Schizosaccharomyces pombe: one gene and its partners. The gene in region 3 interacts genetically with the main gene of each other region. Each region holds a gene or a part of one and is shown on either strand. Other genes may lie near its edges.

Region 1 (7,012 bases), 2.4 Mb from region 3:
ATCAAGCTTCATACGGGACTCATCCAAAATGCCCAAACGAACAAGACGACGAATGATGGCATTTCCCTCGAAAAGACGCTTAGGATCCTTCTCGTCAAGGGTCAAAAGCTCACGAGCAGCACGACGGATTTTAGAAAGGGTAAGTGCTACACGCCAAATTTCATGCTTATTTCTCAAACCATATTCACCAGCAAGCTTGAGCTCGGCATCTAGACGGGCCGACTCGAAGGGACGACGAGGAACCTTGTAAGTCTTGGATTGCTTACGAGGAGCAGAAGGCATTGTTTGTTTGGTGCTTTGCGCAACCTACCTTTGCTATGTATTTTCAAGAAGGCACAACAGTGACGGCTTTTTGAGATACTGTAGTATTAGGTTAGGGTTTTGTCCCATCACCATCCCGTACCGATATCCTTACTACACACTATTCCTACTAACCCTCTAGCTTATATCCTTGTGAAGGAAAAGCAGAAGTTAGATTTGTAAATAGAAGGTGTTGTTTATTTTTTCTAAAATAGAAGATCACATATGTAAGGGATACACTGTATCTTGTGAGTGCGTATTAAACTCTATTTGAAGATATTAATTGCACAATCCTGTGAGTGTTGTGCTGTTACTGTCTCTTTTTTGGTTTTTCTCTGAAATTGATCATAATTATTGACGATTTTACTTTTTTTCGAGTTTCAAAATATAAAAAACAAGTTTTTTTTTAGTAGTTCATCTTACATGGGTGGTGAACTTCTGAATACTTTAGACTATACATACAATTTAGACGTACATATACGTACTTACATAAAGAAAGAGGATTTCGATTACTTCATTTGTTTAGATAAGTCGAAAAATCTATTTTTGCTAGAATATTGATCTTTATTTTCTTCTCTCATTTCTCTCTATTTTATTTCTGAAGGATTGATCAAAAAATGGGTTTACCAGTTCATAACCAGCCCCATAAAGCACACTCGGGCTCTCCCGCATCTACCTTTTCCGCTGCTCTGGTTTCTTCTGCCATTAGCAATGTTATTGGGTATCCTCTTGACTCGATTAAAGTTCGACAGCAAACTTACAATTTCCCAACCATTCGCTCTTGTTTCCAAAACGCTGTTAAAAACGAGGGATTAAAAGGTTTGTATCGTGGTCTTACTCTACCATTGATATCAGCCACTCTATCGAGGTCAGTATCATTTACGGTGTATGATTCCTTAAAACTTACATTTGCTCATGTGGATCCTACACTTCGGTATTTCATTTCCGGGCTTGGGACTGGTACTTTTATATCACTTTTTGCTTGTCCATTCGAGTATTCAAAGTTATATTCACAAATTGACATGCTTCTTCGCAAAACAAATATGGGCCGTCGGCAAGAGACAAATTCCAAGCTAAGTGTCAGACCTCCCTTGTCATCTTTCCAGAGCGCTTCTGACATTGTTCGGAGGTATGGATTTACTGCATTATGGAATGGGTATCGTTATCATCTAACCAGAGACGCTCTAGGATCGGCTTGTTATTTTACAATATACGAAACCTTTAAGAAAAATCTGATAGCGAATGATGTGAAGCCGCATTTTGCTTATGCCTTCTCTGGTGCTTTTTGCGGCGCTTTGTCTTGGATTTTGGTATTCCCGGTGGATACAGCCAAATCCATTGTACAAAGAAATACACTCTTATCAATTAAAACCCCTTTGTCTTCCATTCCTTGGTTATCGTTTACTATATATCGAGGTATAGGTATTTCATTGATGCGAAGCGCTCTTATAAATTCTTGCAATTTTACGCTTTTTGAATTATTTCGGGAAACTAAAGTATTAAGCAAATAGTTTTATTCTAGTTTTACGAAGTCTTTGTTGTCCATTGAGTCGATAACCCGTCGGAATGCATTTCTATACATATTTTAACTTGCATTCGACTTGCGGTTGAAGTTTAATCACATTTTAGAACTGGTTTTGTCGTATATATTTAAAGTCCCATGGAATACTTTTACAATTTTTTTGATGCTATTTATTTTTTATTAAAAGCATTTTTACCTTCAAAAACTCCCCTCTCATCACTTTTCATATCATGTGCTGCTGTTAGTTTGACAGTAATTCCACTGAACTTGTTATACATTTCACGAGTTAACCGTTTCAATCTGAAAGTATATTTTCTTTTCCTCTTTTCCCTGTTTTTTTTTGTTTTGTTTTGCTTTTTACGTCCTGTTTTGGTTAATCCAACTCTTTCAATATCTGTATGTACCTACGCTTTTTTTTCTTGTATAGTTGAATTTTGTTTTGTAGATTTTTGGTAGAGGTGTAAATTGGATGAAATTTTTGAGACTAATAGTCCTTCTATTTCAGCGATTGTTTATTTGGGCATTTAAAACTTTAGCTATTAGATTTAGTATGTTTAATGTACTTTCGGACAATGCTGGCTTTCTTACTCAATACATGCTACCTAAGTGAGTTACCACTACCATCCACATATATTGTGAAGGAAGAACAATGTCTCGAATTTTGGTACGTTATACATTGCTTTTTTTAAGAATTTAGGAGCTAATATATAGAAATCACTAAGTCGTAGTTATTCGACCACCTCCCCTCGTCTTTACGGTATGAAATGACATTTTGATTTTGATGAGATTACTAATGGCAATTTAGTCGATGTAGTACAGGGTTTATATATTTCTTCTTTAAGTATGTTATTATATTCTCTTAATTTACCAATTTCTTACACGTCGTGTCTTAGAATCATATAAGCCTAAAGCTGTCCCTTCCGAAACGGCAGCTGAAGTAAAGGAATGGTCCATGCCTAGCGCTCCTACTGCTCCAAAATACGATGTTGACTTTACTTCTGCTTTAAACTCTTACAAGTATGAGGGAGAAACCATTCCCACTAAGGCTGCTGGAGAAAGCAACAAATTTGACTTTCTTGAATCAGTATGTATCTCTTCCTTTACATTGCATCAGCTAACTTTTCCTTCAGTATGAGAATGAAAAAGAACATTAAATTTATTCACTGCTTTTCCTATGCTCAATTGGAAGATGTTTGGTAATTAACTTTGATTAAATTTTGCCTTTTATTTTCCGATTATGAATTTACATTTTCATCTACGTCGTTGAGATTTGATTTTATATCTATTTCATGCCTTTGTCTGATCCTTCTTTTGATTGACCACGAACGTGGATGTATCTCTATAACTCCCGTCTCACTATGATTTATATTCTAGGTTAACGTATCCTTTTTCTGCTTTCTAAATGTCTTTGAACATAGCTGAATTCAATGCTTAGTCGTCTCTTCGATTACGGCACGAAACAGTTGTTGCCTTGATTGATAGAAAACCACTTTCATTGAGTTGAGATGTTTTTCTCTTTGCAAAGTATTTCTATTGAGTTCACATTTGGATTTTTTTTTTCAATTTATATCAACTCAATACAATTGCTTTTATTCAACAATAAGGATTAGCTTGATAAAATTTGATGTCTACTGTGGGTCATTAAAAATATCAGTAAAGTTCACAGTAGTTTTCTTGGAATTGTAATTTTTTTTCTTAAAAAAATATATAATTCACTATTATAAGGTATTTAGTATATTTTCATGCCTAGTCTCATCGTTTTGCCGATTGAGGCTTCATATATAGCAGTAGTATAACTTGCTTAGTACTATCCACCTCACATCCAACATGGAGCAAGTCATTCAGAATAATTGCTCTGAAGTAGACCCTCATGTCCTCAGCTACTGCACTGGATATGCTAATGATGCTATTAAAGATGTAGATGAGGCTTCAGACCATACGATCTCTCTCATTCGTAATTTATTGCTAGATGCTGGCGCTCGTGAGGAAGCGGTACAGCTCATACAAAACGAACTAGAGAAACAATTTAAAGAAAGAGAGGAACATCTAGATACATTACAAACGAATGGACTTGTTCGTTTGAAGGAGACTATTCGAATGGATTCCCAATCCGAAATTTCGTCAACTATGGGTTTGGTTGGCGAAAAGATGGAATTAGATGCTGTAAAGGGCCGTAAGGTTGAATCTAGGGTAGATAGAAGAAAATTAGAGAAGGCTGAACGGAAGATTCGTGCCAAATGGGAGAAACGTACTATCAAAGCAGAATACGAATCTTCAAAGTTGGTTCAACCCGAACAAAAGTCTTATGAAGAGTTTTACATGGCTGTAAATCCTCTAGATTTATCCGGAAGTAACCAAGGAAAATCGAAAGATATTAAAATTGATGGAATTGATCTTGCTTTTGCTGGTCATCGTATATTGACTGGTGCTTCGTTGACACTTGCACAGGGTAGACGATACGGTTTAACTGGTCGCAACGGTATCGGTAAATCTACTCTTCTACGTGCTCTTTCTCGCCGTGAAATTGCGATTCCTACCCATATTACCATTCTTCATGTTGAGCAAGAAATGACAGGTGATGATACACCTGCCCTACAGTCAGTTTTGGATGCCGATGTTTGGCGCAAGTATTTGATTCAGGACCAGGAAAAGATAACTAATCGTCTATCAACGATTGAAAAAGAATTGGAAGAACTTAGTAAAGACCAAACTGCTGATCAAGCTATTTCCCGTCGCCTTGAGCGTGAACGAGACGAACTTGATTTACGGTTGTTAGATATTCAAAATAAGCTTTCCGAGATGGACTCTGATAGAGCAGAATCACGCGCTGCTACTATTTTAGCTGGTCTTGGATTTACTCAAGAAATGCAAAGCCATGCTACCAAGACTTTTTCAGGTGGTTGGCGTATGCGTTTGTCATTGGCACGTGCTCTGTTTTGTCAACCAGATTTACTACTTTTGGATGAACCTTCGAACATGCTTGACGTTCCCTCAATTGCTTTCTTATCTGAATATTTACAAACTTATAAAAATATCGTTTTAGTCGTTTCACACGATCGTTCTTTCTTGAATGAAGTTGCTACTGATATTATTCATCAACACTCTGAGCGCTTGGATTACTATAAGGGTAATTTTAGTCAATTCTATGCTACTCGTGAAGAACGTTGCAAAAATCAACTTCGTGAATATGAAAAGCAAATGGAATACCGCAAACATTTGCAATCATTCATTGACAAATTTCGTTATAATGCTGCCAAATCATCCGAAGCACAAAGTCGTATTAAGAAGTTGGAAAAACTGCCGATCCTTGAAAAGCCTCAAACTGAGGAAGAAGTTGAGTTTGAATTTCCACCTGTGGAAAAAATATCTCCTCCTATCTTACAAATGTCTGATGTCAATTTTGAGTATGTTCCAGGTCACCCTATTCTCAAACATGTTGATATTGATGTTCAAATGGATTCTCGTATCGGTGTGGTTGGTCCCAACGGTGCTGGTAAATCAACAATGCTTAAGCTTCTTATCGAACAACTTCATCCAACATCTGGTATAGTTAGTCGGCACCCCCGACTTCGTATTGCATACTTTGCACAACATCATGTCGATACTTTGGACTTAAACTTGAATGCCTTAAGCTTTTTAGCTAAGACATTTCCTGGCAAAGGTGAAGAAGAATACCGTCGTCATCTTGGCGCTTTTGGTGTTAGTGGACCTCTTGCATTGCAAAAAATGATCACGCTTTCTGGTGGTCAGAAATCTCGTGTTGCGTTCGCATGCCTAGGTCTACAAAACCCTCACATTCTTATTCTAGATGAACCCACCAACCATCTGGATATGGAGTCCATGGATGCCTTGACAAGAGCTGTTAAACGCTTCCAAGGTGGTGTGATTCTTGTTTCTCACGATGTTGATTTCTTGGACAAGACATGTACCAGTATTTGGCAGTGTGACCATAATGTCGTCTCCAAGTTTGATGGAACAATTTCACAATATAAGAAATTCTGTCTATCTCAACAGCCAACCATGACTATAAAAACTTAATGGAATAGCATAGACTTAAATAATAATAATATAGCTGGCGAGGATAAATAAAATCAAATTCTTTTATCTATGAATCTGGATAAAATATGTAAACGAAGTTAACTACATTTTATACAGTAAAAGACATGAAGTGTTAAATAAGATTAAAACAGTAAATTAATTATAGCTAAGTAAGTCATAACACGGTAATGGACAAGAAACCTGGAAAGCATGCAAATCATCAACCAACACCCAAAAAATAAAGAGAACAAACCCAATCAATTAAAAAGTAAAGAGGAGGAAGGGGAGAAGAGGAGAAAATAAGGCGGACCAAGGAAATCAATAGCAGAAAAAAAAAGAATATACAGACTAGTAAACAAAAAAAGAAAGAGAAAGGAAAAAGTTAACTCATTAAATTCGTTTAGGAACTTGACTAGAAAACCTCGAAGGATTTGGAAAAAAGGACATGGGAAAAGACGTAGGGCGAGAGATTGATGGAGAGGAGGAAGATGAAGGTTGAGTTTTGACGGCGTTGAACGATTTAAAATTCTGAGAGGTGAAAGACTTTGGAGGAAGAGGAATGGACGGATAGGTATTAGAGGTTAAAGGACGCTTTGTAGAAGTATTAGTAGCGTTAGAAGAAGAACGTCCAAGGGGATGCAATTGGGGAAAGCTCCGAGAGGATGAAGTAGCTGAAACAATATGACGGGTAGCAGAGCCTTTTTGAGAAAATCACTTTTAGCTCTCGCCATTAGAGAACTTTTTGGACAATAATTACTCATGGGACGCGGACGCTTAGGAGGCCGAGCAGCTCTAGGCTCACGCTCTAAAGGAACAATTCGCTTGTTTTGTTTACTTTGCTCTAGCTTGGTGTAAGCACTTCGAAGCTTAGCAGAAGCAACGTTATAATGAGCATTTCTTTTTTTCTTAAGTTTTCCGTAGAGCCCTCTCCAATCATCAATATTGTTCAATATAGTTCGTTTTTGAAGTTCTAATCCAAAATCACGCAAAACGTGATCTTTCCACAATGGTTGAGTGTCAACTTTCAAATGAGGCGACTTTTCTTCCAAGTCTATTAAATGTTCTGGTCTAGCTTTTTCCAGGATAGGTTTTACGAGTTCGAATGGGCAATCGCCAATATCATCGATGTCGTGCACATGCTTCTGCGCGACT
Region 2 (7,012 bases), 1.3 Mb from region 3:
CCGGCGAGTCGCATGACCGCAACGAAATATCAGCTAAAGAGCTTTCCCGTATTCAAAAATGGAAATCGATGTGTTCAATACACCTCGTTTCCGGTAATCAGCTCCATTCTTTTCGAAAAACTCGTAAGTTAATTTTACGTACATTTAAGGGGATTCCAGATTGTTGGCGATCTATTGCGTGGTGGTCCTTTCTTGTGGATTCTCTTCCTGATAAAAAACTGATTGACAAGTATTACCAATTGAACGAGCAGATTTGTGACTATGATGTTCAAATTGACCTAGATGTTCCCAGAACAGCTGCTACACATTTCTTATTCCGAAAACGCTACATTGGAGGGCAACGTTTACTATTTAGAGTTCTTCATGCTGTAGCTCTCTATATACCTCGTGTTGGATACGTTCAAGGAATGGCTTCTATTGCTGCGACCTTGCTCATTTACTATCCCGAAGAACAAGCATTTATAATGATGGTAAATTTATTGGAAAATAGAGGCATGGGGGACTTGTTTTCTTCCGGGTTTGATACACTTTTAAAGGCTTTTGACATGCTTAAGCATGAGTTAAGTTTTACACAATCAGGCAGACATCTGGCGGAAATTGGAGCAGAACCATCTGCTTTTGCTACACGTTGGTATCTCACTGTTTTTCATCAATGCGTGCCCTTCCATACTCAATTACGTATATGGGATCTCCTGTTTTTATTAGGTGGAAGCAAAGGTCAAACTGTCAGGTTATTGCAAGCCACTTCTCTTGCGGTTATACAAGGAATGTGGGACACGCTAATTGATGCAGACTTTGAAGTAGTAATGCAAGCTCTGTCAGGTGTTATTCCCATTCAAAACGATAACGCCCTGCTTGCTAGAATTCAATTATTTTGGGAAAAAATGCCTTCTGAAAATTCTTCTAAAAGTAAGAGAAACTGATATTTCTAACTCTTTTTTAATAGCTTTATTAATTGTGGCCCACATGATGTAACATATGTCAACAAGATGAGGATTGATATCACAGAGCTTAGCATAATGGGTCCTGAACATTTATCATTTTCTTTTTCTGTTTTAATTTGGAACGTTGATAAACATTATTTCCTTGATACCACAAAACTTTTATTGGTATCAAGAGTATGCGCTTTAAATCGATCCTATCTAACTCTCTCTTCTTACTAATATTATAATTTTAACATCTCACCAAAAGAAATGGAATTTTAACATAAAATTAATTCAAGTATATATATTATAAATACTATACATATATATGTATACATAATACCTCTCCATCTTGCGACTTCCTAGGTGCGTCGTAATTTCTAATTATGTATAGCTTAAATAGTTAAATATTACCAAAACACTGACGACAAATAATAAAATATAAAGAAGGTAGTAAATGGGTTGAAAAATCAAATAAAACAAGGTATGGGGTTACTCTTCCTCGTTCTCTTCTACATTCTCTTCTGAAGAACGAGATTGATGAGAAGACGCAACATCAGCAAACTTAAGGATTTTGTCTTTATACTTGGTGACATCCCCGGAACTGTCTTCTATTATCCAGGACTGGACCTTATCTTCAATCAAGAATCGCTTGGAACTATTTTCATCAAAAATCACTACAACACTGGAATCCTTCAAGTTCACCTCCATCTCGATAAAAAGTCTCTCATGTTTTCCTTTACAAACAAAAGCGCATCGACCAACATCAGTTAATAGCATAACCCTTTGCTTTCTTTTCAAAAACATTTTTGAGAGTCCAGATGGAAACTTATTACCCTCAGGTACACTTGGAATGGGTGATACGAAGACCGAGGTAGATTCAATGATCGACTCAGACGATGGAACCAACTTGTAATAAAGTCTGTCAACAGGCATCTGATGGCTTCGAAGTGAAGCATAGCCATAATGAGCAGTTGGAGCAGTGAAACGATTTACCGTAGGAAGCTCCTGACGTCGAGCAGTTTCCTGATGCTTTACAATGGATGCAGAAGCAAATGCCGCGGCAGCATTAGCAGCAGCTGCGGCTGTCACATTTGAGCGATAATAAGCAGGAGCATTAGGAATGGCTATGTTATAATTAGGCCGGAATGACTGCATAGGAGGAGGATCTTGAGTCCATAAATTGTCCCAAGTAATAGTAGCAAAAAAAGGAAATTGTTTTATTTGTTGGGTTGTAGATCGATCAGATGGCTGAATACGGAAAAGATGGCTAAACAAAGGAACGATATCAGGTGGTAAGAGCTTTGGAAGCTCATATTCCAGGCTCATTATCTTTTTGAAAATATTATTAGGATTGCTGCCATGAAAAGGAGGGGAACCAACAATCATTTGATAAACAACACACGCAAAAGCCCATAAATCGGAACTTAAATATTTGTCAGAAAAAAAATAGACTGGGATAATAGGTTTTCTTACGATTTTGAAACAACTTGTCTAGACAATAGTTCAGGAGCAACATATTCCGCAGTGCCAACAAAGGAGCTTGGAAAGGTAGTGTAATCAGGGCTATTTACATATTTAGGGGGTAGGATTTTGGCTGTGCCGAAATCGGTAATTTTTACATGCATATTTCCATCAAATAAAATGCTAAAAAATAGGTTAGAATTAGGAAAAGGAAACGAACATTTAATGACCACTACTCAAACATACTTTTCTGGCTTGAGATCTCTGTGAATTATACCGCAGGAGTGCATATACTCGATACTTGATAAAATCTCAGCAGCATAAAAGCGCACACAATTCTCATCAAGAAAACGATACTACCAAAGCTTAGTTAATAAAGGAAAAATGAATAGACTAATGAAAAAATATACCTTTTTGATGTATTGCAAAAGTTCACCATTGGGTGCAAGTTCAAGCACATAATAAAGTTTTAAATCATCCTGAAATGTATGGAAAAGACGAGAGATACCAGGAAACCCATTAAGTCTCATCATAGAATCTCTCTCTATATTCACATACTTAACCTTATTTTCCTTGACAATATATTTTTTATCAAGGACTTTGATAGCGTACTCCTTCCAACTCTTTTTATCAGTTGCTCTTCTCACCTAACGAATATTAGACAACTTATTCGTCAGTAATCGAAGGTCCATAGGTTAATCGACCTGCGGTTGAAAAACTTCTGAACTGAGAAGCAATGTATCAACTTACCTTTGAGAATGATCCATCTCCTATAATGTCACCAAAAACGTAATCCGCCGGAGATTTGATCGATCCTATATGACTTGTTCCTGGTACTACGTTGGAAGACTGAGGTTTTACCGGATTTCTTTCACCTCTAGCCTCGAAGTAATCGGGATCCGCATAATCCGGCAATGTACTTCGGCTAATGCGTTTATGCTCCAGATCCATCATTTATAAAAGAGGTTTTCATGAAAAATGAAGTTGTGTTTGAGTTACTTTACGTTTGCTGTTCGATTCCAACTGAAACACCGTGCATTTAATTGTGGAGTTGCTGGCCTTGGAGTTGTGTTCTGTGAAGGATGTAAACACTAAGTAGAGTACCCTATTTCTCCAATCCTCGTCATTATTACATAAATTTAAAACGTAGAATATGCCATGTAAACAATAAATTAAAGGTCGAATTGTCAAAGAAAAAATGCTCATTAAGCAGCTTGATAGCCTTATCATACCCATCAAAGTCTTACATCGCATTAATGATACTTCGATATGACCTGAAGATGGTAGTACAAAAAAATTGCTTTGGGTGTTTATAGCATTAGCGAAAGCGATACAATTTGGAACGGCAATGAAAATTTTTTTAATTCAATGTTTTAAGCTCACGCTAAGCTATCCATGGCGATATTCGCTCTAAAAAGCAATAAATTGCTTGAATATGTTTGAAATAGTTTATAAATAAATATATATATGTACATATTGTTGAAATAACAGACACCTAAACAAAAGAGATTTTTAGAAAGCCAGTTGTCTTTGGGATACTGCCTTACTAAAATAAGCAAAATACACTGTAGTTAATGAAATGCTTCTTGCCTTAATTCCAAAATTAATTTGGCGATTAACAGAATTTGGAACATCCCCTATCACCTCAATATTGCTTGGAATTCTGCTTCGCTAGAAATGAAACATAACATGATACCTAATTCACAGTTTAGAAGATCCGTCGTAAGAAATTCTCGTAAATATATATACATCATTCCAGGTCGAACTTCCAATATCTTCATTTTTTGTTAAAAGATCATGGTCATATTATTTTCATTCTTCAATAGCTATGGTTTTTTTCATGTTATTTGCGTAAGTAAACCAAATATAAGCAGTCGTCAAATATTAAGAAAACAAAATCTTCAGAAACCTTTTTAGTCCCAAACTTTTAGATTCTTTCATTCTTTCCTATGTTAATTTCTAGCTGAGCACTTTCAAGTTCAATCCATGGTTATAACTCTGTAGTCGGCTGTAACTTTTGATCAAAAATTTTTAATACTATACCCTTATCTATAGTCGTTAAAGAATTTCTTAAAAAATATACGAATTCTTTCAACACTTTTTACAATTGAATAACAATTTTTTATATTCATACTGCAATTTCATATGCAGGTAGCAATGTTACCTAAATTTTGGCTGCTTCTCAATACCATACACAAGTCCCTAATCATTTTAACCTTTCACCAAACTTCTGAAAATGGCCACTACTGTGAAAGATACTATGAATGTTGACATTAATGCTATTAAAAAGGGGTATGATTGCGGGAAATTGATTTTGAAAGTTCTGACTTTGTAGAGAAATTCGTATGGGTACCACCATCACGGCGCTCCGTTATAAAGATGGCGTTATACTTGCTGCAGATTCTCGAACAACTATGGGTGTGTATTGGAATATCAGAACTTTTCGTTCTTTGATTTCTAACGTTGCTAGGTGCATATATTGCAAATCGTGTCACTGATAAGCTGACTCAGCTGACAGACAATATTTGGTGCTGTCGCAGTGGTTCTGCTGCTGATACGCAAACTGTGGCTGATCTTCTAAAATACTATCTTTCCATGTATCGGTAAGTTACCCTTGAATGAACCGAATGACTGTAAATTAAGGCTGCTTTAGCTGGTTTATCCTTTAGAATAAACTATCGACTTACTCTCAAGTCCTTATGTTTACTAGATGATTACTAAAGCCTTTTTGCATGTTTTATTTTTCATTTTATTGTTGTTAAAAAAATTATCTAACGATTATGAAGTATTCAATTTGGCCATGACCCTAGTGTTCATACAGCTGCTACTTTAGCTTCTGAAATGTGTTATCAAAACAAAAATATGCTTAGTGCAGGTTTAATTGTTGCTGGATATGATGAAAAAACTGGGGGAGATGTTTACAGTATTCCGTTAGGTGGTAGTTTGCATAAGCAACCTTTAGCTATTGGAGGAAGTGGTTCTGCTTTTATTTATGGATTTTGCGATGCTAACTTTCGCGAAAATATGACCCAAGAGGAGGCTGTTGAATTTTTAAAGAACGCTGTTGCTTTAGCCATGGAACGCGATGGCAGCAGTGGTGGTACCATTCGAATGGTCATTTTAAATAAAGATGGAATGGAGCGTAAATTTTTTGCCATTGATACTGCTAACCCTATTCCCGTATTTACTCACTAAGTACTTCACGTTTCCTTTTATTTTACGTGACTATACTGATACCCAATGCTTATGCTAGACTTGACCTTATTAATGCCTGTCTCATTATTTGTAGCTTTTGGAGTGCAAGGTCATGAAGAAAAGTTACTTTTCTGGTCAGTGAGATAAGTCTTTGTGATGATTAAAATAGAAAGATTTTTTATAGTTACAGTTAACTACCGAAGTGTAGTTATATTGTTGATAGTGAAAGAATATTATTGTTATGAGTCCTATGTAATTGTCATAAGAGTAAAAATGTTGTAAGATGCCTGCAAGCACATTTAAAATTTTGATTATCAGCTTCATACAAGAAAATTGTAATCAGCCATGTAAAATATAAAATTAGTCCGAACACCGGTAGACCCTTCTAAAGAAGAATAAAATATGATGTGTCTTTTTTTGTTTAAAATTGAATGCAGAAATTATGTGAAAAGAACAAACTTTAACGGTAAGAATATACACGGTGAGATATGTATTAAGCTCTTCAACAGGTACACCGTAGTTACAGGTCAAGGAATGGAAGTGGGACAAAAAAATAATGAAGCATGAAAACATTAAAGATAAACGCCCCCCTTCATTTTTTATTCTACAACATAGTCATGAAAAGCCAGCAACTCTCCGAACGCTTTATGCCACTCGGCAGTCAAAATTTGGGGAAACTCCGTGTTGTCATATTCCCAAAATTTACCATGAGCAGCACGAAGATAGGGTAAGTCCTCTTCGGTGACCCAAACTCCATTATATGAAAAATCGAGCCTCGTCCAGGGAAACCAACCATATTTATTATAAGCAAGATTTAATAAACTTTGTTCCATCATTCTAGCATCGTCATACATATAAGGATAACGTGCTATCTTCTTAATCCTATGCATATGAAGACTACTGGGATGAACAAGCATCAGCCCGGCATTAAAAGTTTCAGATTCTTCTGGGGGCGTCGCATGTCCAGGGTTACGATCGTCACATGCGCCAAGAAGATATGGATAGAATTCTGAGCGAGGAGCACCATAGGCATCGAAATTGTCGCTAAACTGATAATCCTCTTCATCATCTGGCTTCTTAAAGATAGGAAAGCTAAACATATCGGGTTCTGCAGGAGATTCATAAACATAGGGAGTATCAAAAATGTCATCCATGTTTTTCAATACTAGGAGATCGCTATCCAGAATGCAGACCTTATCAAACTGTGTTTGCTCAAATACACTGAGTTTTGTGAACATGTATTGATAACGATAACTGCCCATGCCAATAGACAAACCACTTTCAATTAAGTCTTCAGTTTTAATTTGATCGACCATAATTATTTCGGCCCCATCAAGTCGCAATCGTTCAATTTTCCATTCATCAACCCCTTTCATAACAAGGACATGAACGGGATATTTACTTTTCGTTTCAGGATGATGTTTCAGCTT
Region 3 (7,012 bases):
GATGCTTTTTCTTCTGCTGCATTGGCAAACATTTTTCTGAAGTGCTTGGATTTTTAAATTAAAATGCAAAGCGTCGCTTTCAATTTATCGGTTTCACTTTTTATTGTTGTATAATTTTTTGAGAAGAATATTAGTCTAACCTTTAGTTTGCACAATCGGAATGTAAGTATCAATAAATTAAGATTCTTTAATATATCTGTTGGAATCGTTCTTTTTTTTTTGGATGCACTACACCTTAAATTTTTAATATATATGCGATAATTGTACTCAGAAAAGCAAATGATAGCATTTTGGAATTCGCTTCAGACCTTACAGAGACTATTCAAAGTATTCTTGGAATTTAAGTTTGCAGCTTCGAAGAAAGTCGTAACTATTTTCTAGAACTGATTTTTTATTTCATGATAACGTTAAAATTTGCCCAGCAATAACTGTATTTTTGTGTACTTTACCAATAGCAATTTAGATTTTAACTAGCAAATCAAAGAAATATGGAGTTGTTGTCCTTCTCCATGCTTAATATTGCAGCCATATTTATTCTTTACTAACTCATCACCTAGCGATGTTTCGATTCCGTGTCTTTAGCTAAAAAATTGTTATGGTATAAAGATTCACGGATCGGCCGTTAAAATTATTCAATTACTTAACCAATAGAAAGGCCCCAGATTCGATTGCTATACCACTACATATTCGTTTACAATAATACAATATTACGGTTGAAGTATTTTTAAACAGCCAATCATTTTTTTTATTTTCAAAGCAATTTTGTTTAAGAGAATAAGACAGAATATTATTTCATAGTAAAAGTATATAATTATATTCTAATATACCGATATTGTAATGACGATAAATTATTTTTTAAACTAATTTATGGCATGTTGATAAAGCCAATGAAGGGACTGAGTAAATTGTATACCTCAAGCAAAAATTCGCTAAGCAAACGACAACTTCATCATAACCTGATGTTGAGTATGTTGTTGACGAGTAATCCCTTGTTTAATTTTTGTAAAACAACCGGATATCGGAAATATAGCAAAGGGATGAGAGCGATGGTACAAAAGTTGAGGTGCCACATTGGAACAATATTTAGTCATTATCCGAAATTTGTTATCCGTTTTTTAATTCCGGATGACATCTAAATGAATTGGGAGTTAATAGCCACTGACACGTACACTATAGAGTTAGTACTTGATTAAAAAAAAGTAAGAGAAATAGAGCAATCCTCAACCTTGTTAACTTTTCTTATGAGGTGTTAGCATTAATTCTTGTGTTCAGTCTTGCGCTCATGTCCGTTACTTGTGTAAAAATGTACGATATGTCGTCCCATATTAGTAAATGCCATGAATTATCATCCATCACTGATACCAAAATAAACGGTGATGATGAATTCAACAAATTCAAAATATCGTTATACACTGGTACTCATAGCTATTCTGTTTCCCTAGTGGAACATGTTATTCTCTTTCCTTCTCATATCTCTCGTAATGTGACGTCAAATTATAATATTCGTGTAACGAAACCAATCAGCAACCAGCCTTTCAATCAACCAATCACATAATACCTATATGGTCGAAAAATATGATAATATTGCTTTAAAAGTCATAATAGTTTTGGATGAGCGAGTTCAACTTTCAAGCTAGTCATTCAATTTAACGTTTTAATATAATTTACCTAATTTTTTTTAAATATAGAGAATGAATTTATGAATGAGGGGCATATGGTTGAATTTGAGATTCTATATATCGCATTCGAGATTTAGTAATATTGTAGCATTTCATTCTAGATTAACATAATAAATCACACACTAGCATGCTCTTGACTACTCTCTTACGCGGCAACGTAGATAACGTACATCAAAAATTTTACATTCGAATGGTGTTTTATTACGATTAGTTTAATATTTCGGCAAAGCAATTTGAATTTCAGTAAATGTAAAGGATTCTAGGCACTTACTATGACGTTGAAAAATAATATAAATATAAGCTTGCTTTCATTAAAACAACATCGTTAGCGAATAAATTCTAATTCACTTTTTCCTTCATTTGAATTTTTATTCTACTACTTTAAAGGTCTTTCATTAACATAACGACTGGCTAGAACTGCATTTTAGATTGCTTACCTTATATCAAATTCCAATTATGCTTAGCAAAAAATTTACCCCTTTGTCTTTGAAAAATGCAGCAAAATGCATAAATAATAGTTTGCGTTCTACTTATGCAATTACTGGAGTAAACCTTACGAGAGGACTAGCCACAAATTCAAAAGTTGATCCTAAAACCTACGCTCCTAAACCGGAATTTAGCTCGATTGCCGTTCGTGAAATGCTCCGAAAGTCATGTCTGCATGAATTCACTGATGAAGAGGTTGCTACGCGTATTGAGTTAGCTGCGGCATATCGTCTTTTTGGTTTAGAACATTGGAATGAGAATATTCTAAATCATTTGACTGCCAAGGTTGAGGAACCTGATGGAACCGCTTCATTTCTGATTAATCCTTATGGTTTACGATATGGTGAAATTACCGCTAGTAGTCTTATTAAGGTTGATGAGGATGGAAACATCAAACATCCTGGTGTTACGGGTGATGTTTTTGGCATCAATCGTGCTGGCTATGTTATACATAGTGCGATACACAGGGCTCGTCCAGATGTGAAGAGCATTATGCACAATCACTATCCATATGCTGCTGGCGTTTCATGTGTTAAACATGGTTTCCTTGAGCTTGCTCAAACTTCACACCAATCTGGTCCTGTCACATATCACGATTATCATGGAATTGTAGTTGACAAAGGCGAACAAAAGAGTTTGGCTGAAGACATAGCAAACAAGGATATTTTGATACTTCGTAATCATGGAATTATTACTGCTGCCGAGTCTGTAGGTGCAGCTTACTATTTAATGTATCAATTTTTGGCCGCCACGGAAATCCAAACGCATGCATCAGCAAATGCTTTGGGAGACATGAACAATCTTTTCATTCCTAATAACAAACTTGTTGAAAAAACTTTTGATGTTACCAGAGAGAAGCATTTCTCGGGTGCTAAATATGGAATTAAGGAACTTTCTGCCTATATGAGGTTACTTGATGATCTTGATAGTTCATACAGAACTTAAGATGATGTATTATTTAATTTCGTCTTTTATCAGAATTTATCACAATAAGATTTATTTGACGAGCGTAAATCCACTGAAAACTGAAGTTGAGAGCTTGTTCTACTTGACTTAATCAGTCATTAAATTTATTAATATTCTAAATCGCATTCTTTTATTATTTTTATTCACAGAAATATGAATACATGAAAAAGGAATTTTTTTTAATTTATATAATCCGACAATGCAAAAGCTAACGAAATTACACCTTAGGACTCATATTGTATCACTTGCTTCTTACCGTATTAAATATGCAACTGCAATCATTTTGCAGCCAATGTAAATGACTTTATCGTAAAACATGCATTCTGCATGAAATATCCTTGACAAAAGTTAGTAAAAATTTTATTATACATTATTCACAAATGTTTTTTACCAATAAACTTCTAAGTTACTAGTCAGAATTAATCCTGATGTTTTACTCAAATTTACTTCGTTTTCGACACTCAAAAACAATTAGAAGTTAATAAAAACTTTAACAAGGCAAGTATTCGTTGCAACTCCTAACGACAGCAATACCATGGTTTCTTAATGTCACTATACGCTACTTGTTCAGTTTATTTAGAGTACATACAGTGCGACATTTGTACCGACATATGTTACTAATCATATAGCAATTATATCGATAGCACTATGATTAGACCAATTCTAACCCTTCAATTCATTTGTGGTTAGTTCTACCTAAACCCTTCACACGAAGAATATCTTCAATGCCTGCTGTTCATTCCACCTACATACCGCAGTACAATATTAATAAAATTATCACAGAAGCGTATATTTAAAAGGTGATTTTAAACTGCGTAGCTGTCAGCAATACTGCACTACGTTGCGTATCACTATATGTCACATGTTCAACATCATATCGTAGATATCCGTTGATAACAAGTATTTAGAAATATTATAAATAGCGTTACAACTGAACCTCGTTCCTCAGTTCAGTTATGAGCTATATTATTGATAGGTAACATTATAACCCAGTTAATACAATACCTATACTCAGTTGCTTCTCATACAACCTGTGTATTGTAATATAATAGATCACAAGGAAAACTCACCACAGTTCTACGTATCCTTAAATCAGATACCAAACTGCGTAGCTTACAATAACTGAACTCTTGTGATCTACAATTAACTCTTTTTAAGAAAAAGGAATTATTGAATAAATATATATCATAAATATATATATTTCTCTCCTTCTGGGTTCAAAGGAGAAAGAACTTTGGAAAGACTGTTATCCCTTTTGAAATCTCCCAAAAGGGAAACATATACAATGTCCTACGCAAATTATCGTTATATGAAAGCAAGAGCAAAACGATGGAGACCAGAGAATTTGGATGGAATTCAAACATCAGACGAACATTTAATAAACCTTTTTGCAAAAATATTATCGAAGCATGTACCAGAGATAGGGAAATTCGATCCTAATAAGGATGTTGAAAGTTACATTTCAAAACTTGATCAACACTTTACTGAATACCCTTCATTATTCCCAAATGAGCATACTAAAAGACAGTATACATTGAATCACCTAGAAGAATTAGAGCAACAATTCGCTGAACGCATGTTTTCTGAGAATGGAAGTCTTACATGGCAAGAATTACTCAGACAACCAGGGAAAGTACAAGGATCCAACAAAGGTGATCGTTTAACTAAAACATTTGAAGGTTTTAGAAATCAATTGGACAAAGTTCAATTTATAAGGAAACTCATGTCAAAGGCAAATGTTGATGATTTCCATACTCGCTTGTTTATATTATGGATGCTGCCATATTCCTTAAGGAAATTAAAGGAAAGAAATTACTGGAAATCGGAAATCAGTGAAATTTATGACTTTTTAGAGGACAAAAGAACAGCCTCGTATGGTAAAACTCACAAGCGTTTTCAACCGCAAAATAAAAATCTAGGAAAAGAGTTCCTTCCAAAGAAAAATAACACCACTAATAGCAGAAACCTGAGGAAGACAAATATTTCGAGAATAGAATACTCATCTAACAAATTCCTAAATCATACTAGGAAACGTTACGAAATGGTATTACAAGCTGAACTTCCAGACTTCAAGTGCTCAATACCCTGTCTAATCGATACGGGCACTCAAGCAAATATTATAACAGAAGAAACTGTTCGAGCACATAAACTGCCTACCAGACCCTGGTCAAAAAGTGTGATATATGGTGGAGTTTATCCAAATAAGATTAATCGCAAAACAATAAAACTTAACATAAGTCTAAATGGAATATCAATCAAAACAGAATTCTTGGTTGTAAAGAAATTTTCGCATCCAGCTGCTATCTCCTTCACAACATTATATGACAATAACATTGAAATATCTAGCAGTAAACACACGCTCTCTCAAATGAACAAAGTTTCAAATATTGTCAAGGAACCTGAGTTACCAGATATCTATAAAGAATTCAAAGACATTACTGCAGAAACCAATACGGAAAAGCTACCAAAGCCAATAAAAGGGTTAGAATTTGAAGTTGAACTAACTCAAGAAAACTACAGATTACCTATCAGAAATTACCCGCTACCACCGGGAAAAATGCAAGCTATGAATGATGAAATTAATCAAGGATTAAAAAGTGGAATTATACGAGAATCTAAAGCCATTAACGCCTGTCCAGTAATGTTCGTTCCGAAAAAGGAAGGCACCTTGAGAATGGTGGTTGACTACAAACCTTTAAATAAGTATGTCAAACCCAATATATATCCGTTACCACTTATTGAACAATTACTTGCTAAAATACAAGGTTCTACAATTTTTACTAAACTTGACCTCAAAAGTGCCTATCACTTGATACGAGTAAGAAAAGGAGATGAACATAAACTTGCTTTTCGCTGTCCTCGTGGAGTTTTTGAATATCTAGTAATGCCTTATGGCATATCTATAGCTCCAGCACATTTTCAATACTTTATCAATACAATACTTGGTGAAGTCAAAGAATCGCATGTAGTATGTTATATGGATAATATTTTAATTCATTCAAAATCGGAATCTGAACATGTAAAACATGTTAAAGACGTTCTACAGAAATTAAAAAATGCGAACTTAATTATCAATCAAGCAAAATGTGAATTTCATCAATCACAAGTAAAATTTATAGGGTATCACATTTCGGAAAAAGGATTTACGCCTTGTCAAGAAAATATAGACAAAGTCTTACAATGGAAGCAACCTAAGAATCGTAAAGAATTACGACAATTTCTAGGTTCTGTCAATTATCTTAGGAAATTCATTCCAAAGACATCACAATTAACACATCCACTCAATAATCTTTTGAAAAAGGATGTACGCTGGAAATGGACACCAACACAAACCCAAGCGATAGAAAACATTAAACAATGTTTAGTTTCTCCTCCGGTGCTACGACACTTTGATTTCAGTAAAAAGATTCTACTAGAAACTGATGCTTCAGATGTCGCTGTAGGAGCCGTATTGTCTCAAAAACATGATGATGATAAATACTATCCTGTTGGATACTATTCAGCAAAGATGTCTAAAGCACAATTAAATTATAGCGTATCGGACAAAGAAATGCTTGCAATCATTAAGTCTCTCAAACATTGGAGACACTATTTAGAATCCACTATCGAACCTTTCAAAATTTTAACAGACCATCGAAACTTAATTGGTCGCATTACTAACGAATCCGAGCCTGAAAACAAACGTTTAGCTCGTTGGCAATTATTTTTACAAGACTTCAACTTTGAAATTAACTACAGACCTGGATCAGCAAATCACATAGCTGATGCCTTATCCAGAATTGTTGACGAAACAGAACCAATTCCAAAAGATTCAGAAGACAATAGTATCAACTTTGTTAATCAAATCTCGATAACCGATGATTTTAAAAACCAAGTGGTTA

The links.
Region 1: mutations in SPOM_SPBC1289.14 (region 3) and gcn20 together harm fitness less than expected from each alone (positive genetic interaction), as found in Schizosaccharomyces pombe (one large-scale study listed by BioGRID).
Region 2: mutations in SPOM_SPBC1289.14 (region 3) and pdk1 together harm fitness more than expected from each alone (negative genetic interaction), as found in Schizosaccharomyces pombe (one large-scale study listed by BioGRID).

Annotation. Positions count from the first base shown.
Region 1 is NC_003423.3:2,053,062-2,060,073, reverse strand, and holds gcn20 (AAA family ATPase Gcn20), read left to right. Parts: upstream 1-3,631; 5' UTR 3,632-3,649; coding exon 3,650-5,860; 3' UTR 5,861-5,933; downstream 5,934-7,012. Other genes in the region: rps902 (40S ribosomal protein uS4), read right to left, coding at 1-282; ort1 (carboxylic acid transporter), read left to right, coding at 918-1,811; atp14 (F1-ATPase subunit H), read left to right, coding at 2,472-2,486, 2,534-2,579, 2,628-2,663, 2,716-2,906, 2,953-2,976.
Region 2 is NC_003423.3:3,113,046-3,120,057, forward strand, and holds pdk1 (serine/threonine protein kinase Ppk21/Pdk1), read right to left. Parts: upstream 3,465-7,012; 5' UTR 3,342-3,464; coding exon 3,138-3,341; exon of another isoform or gene 3,035-3,137; coding exon 2,798-3,034; intron 2,744-2,797; coding exon 2,634-2,743; intron 2,571-2,633; coding exon 2,400-2,570; intron 2,350-2,399; coding exon 1,416-2,349; 3' UTR 1,186-1,415; downstream 1-1,185. Other genes in the region: SPOM_SPBC1778.09 (GTPase-activating protein), read left to right, coding at 1-923; proteasome core particle subunit beta 1 Pre3, read left to right, coding at 4,624-4,679, 4,723-4,805, 4,858-4,990, 5,174-5,582; alpha-1,3-galactosyltransferase Otg3, read right to left, coding at 6,182-7,012.
Region 3 is NC_003423.3:4,410,241-4,417,252, forward strand, and holds SPOM_SPBC1289.14 (adducin), read left to right. Parts: upstream 1-2,000; 5' UTR 2,001-2,135; coding exon 2,136-3,110; 3' UTR 3,111-3,359; downstream 3,360-7,012. Other genes in the region: Tf2-11 (retrotransposable element/transposon Tf2-type), read left to right, coding at 4,417-7,012.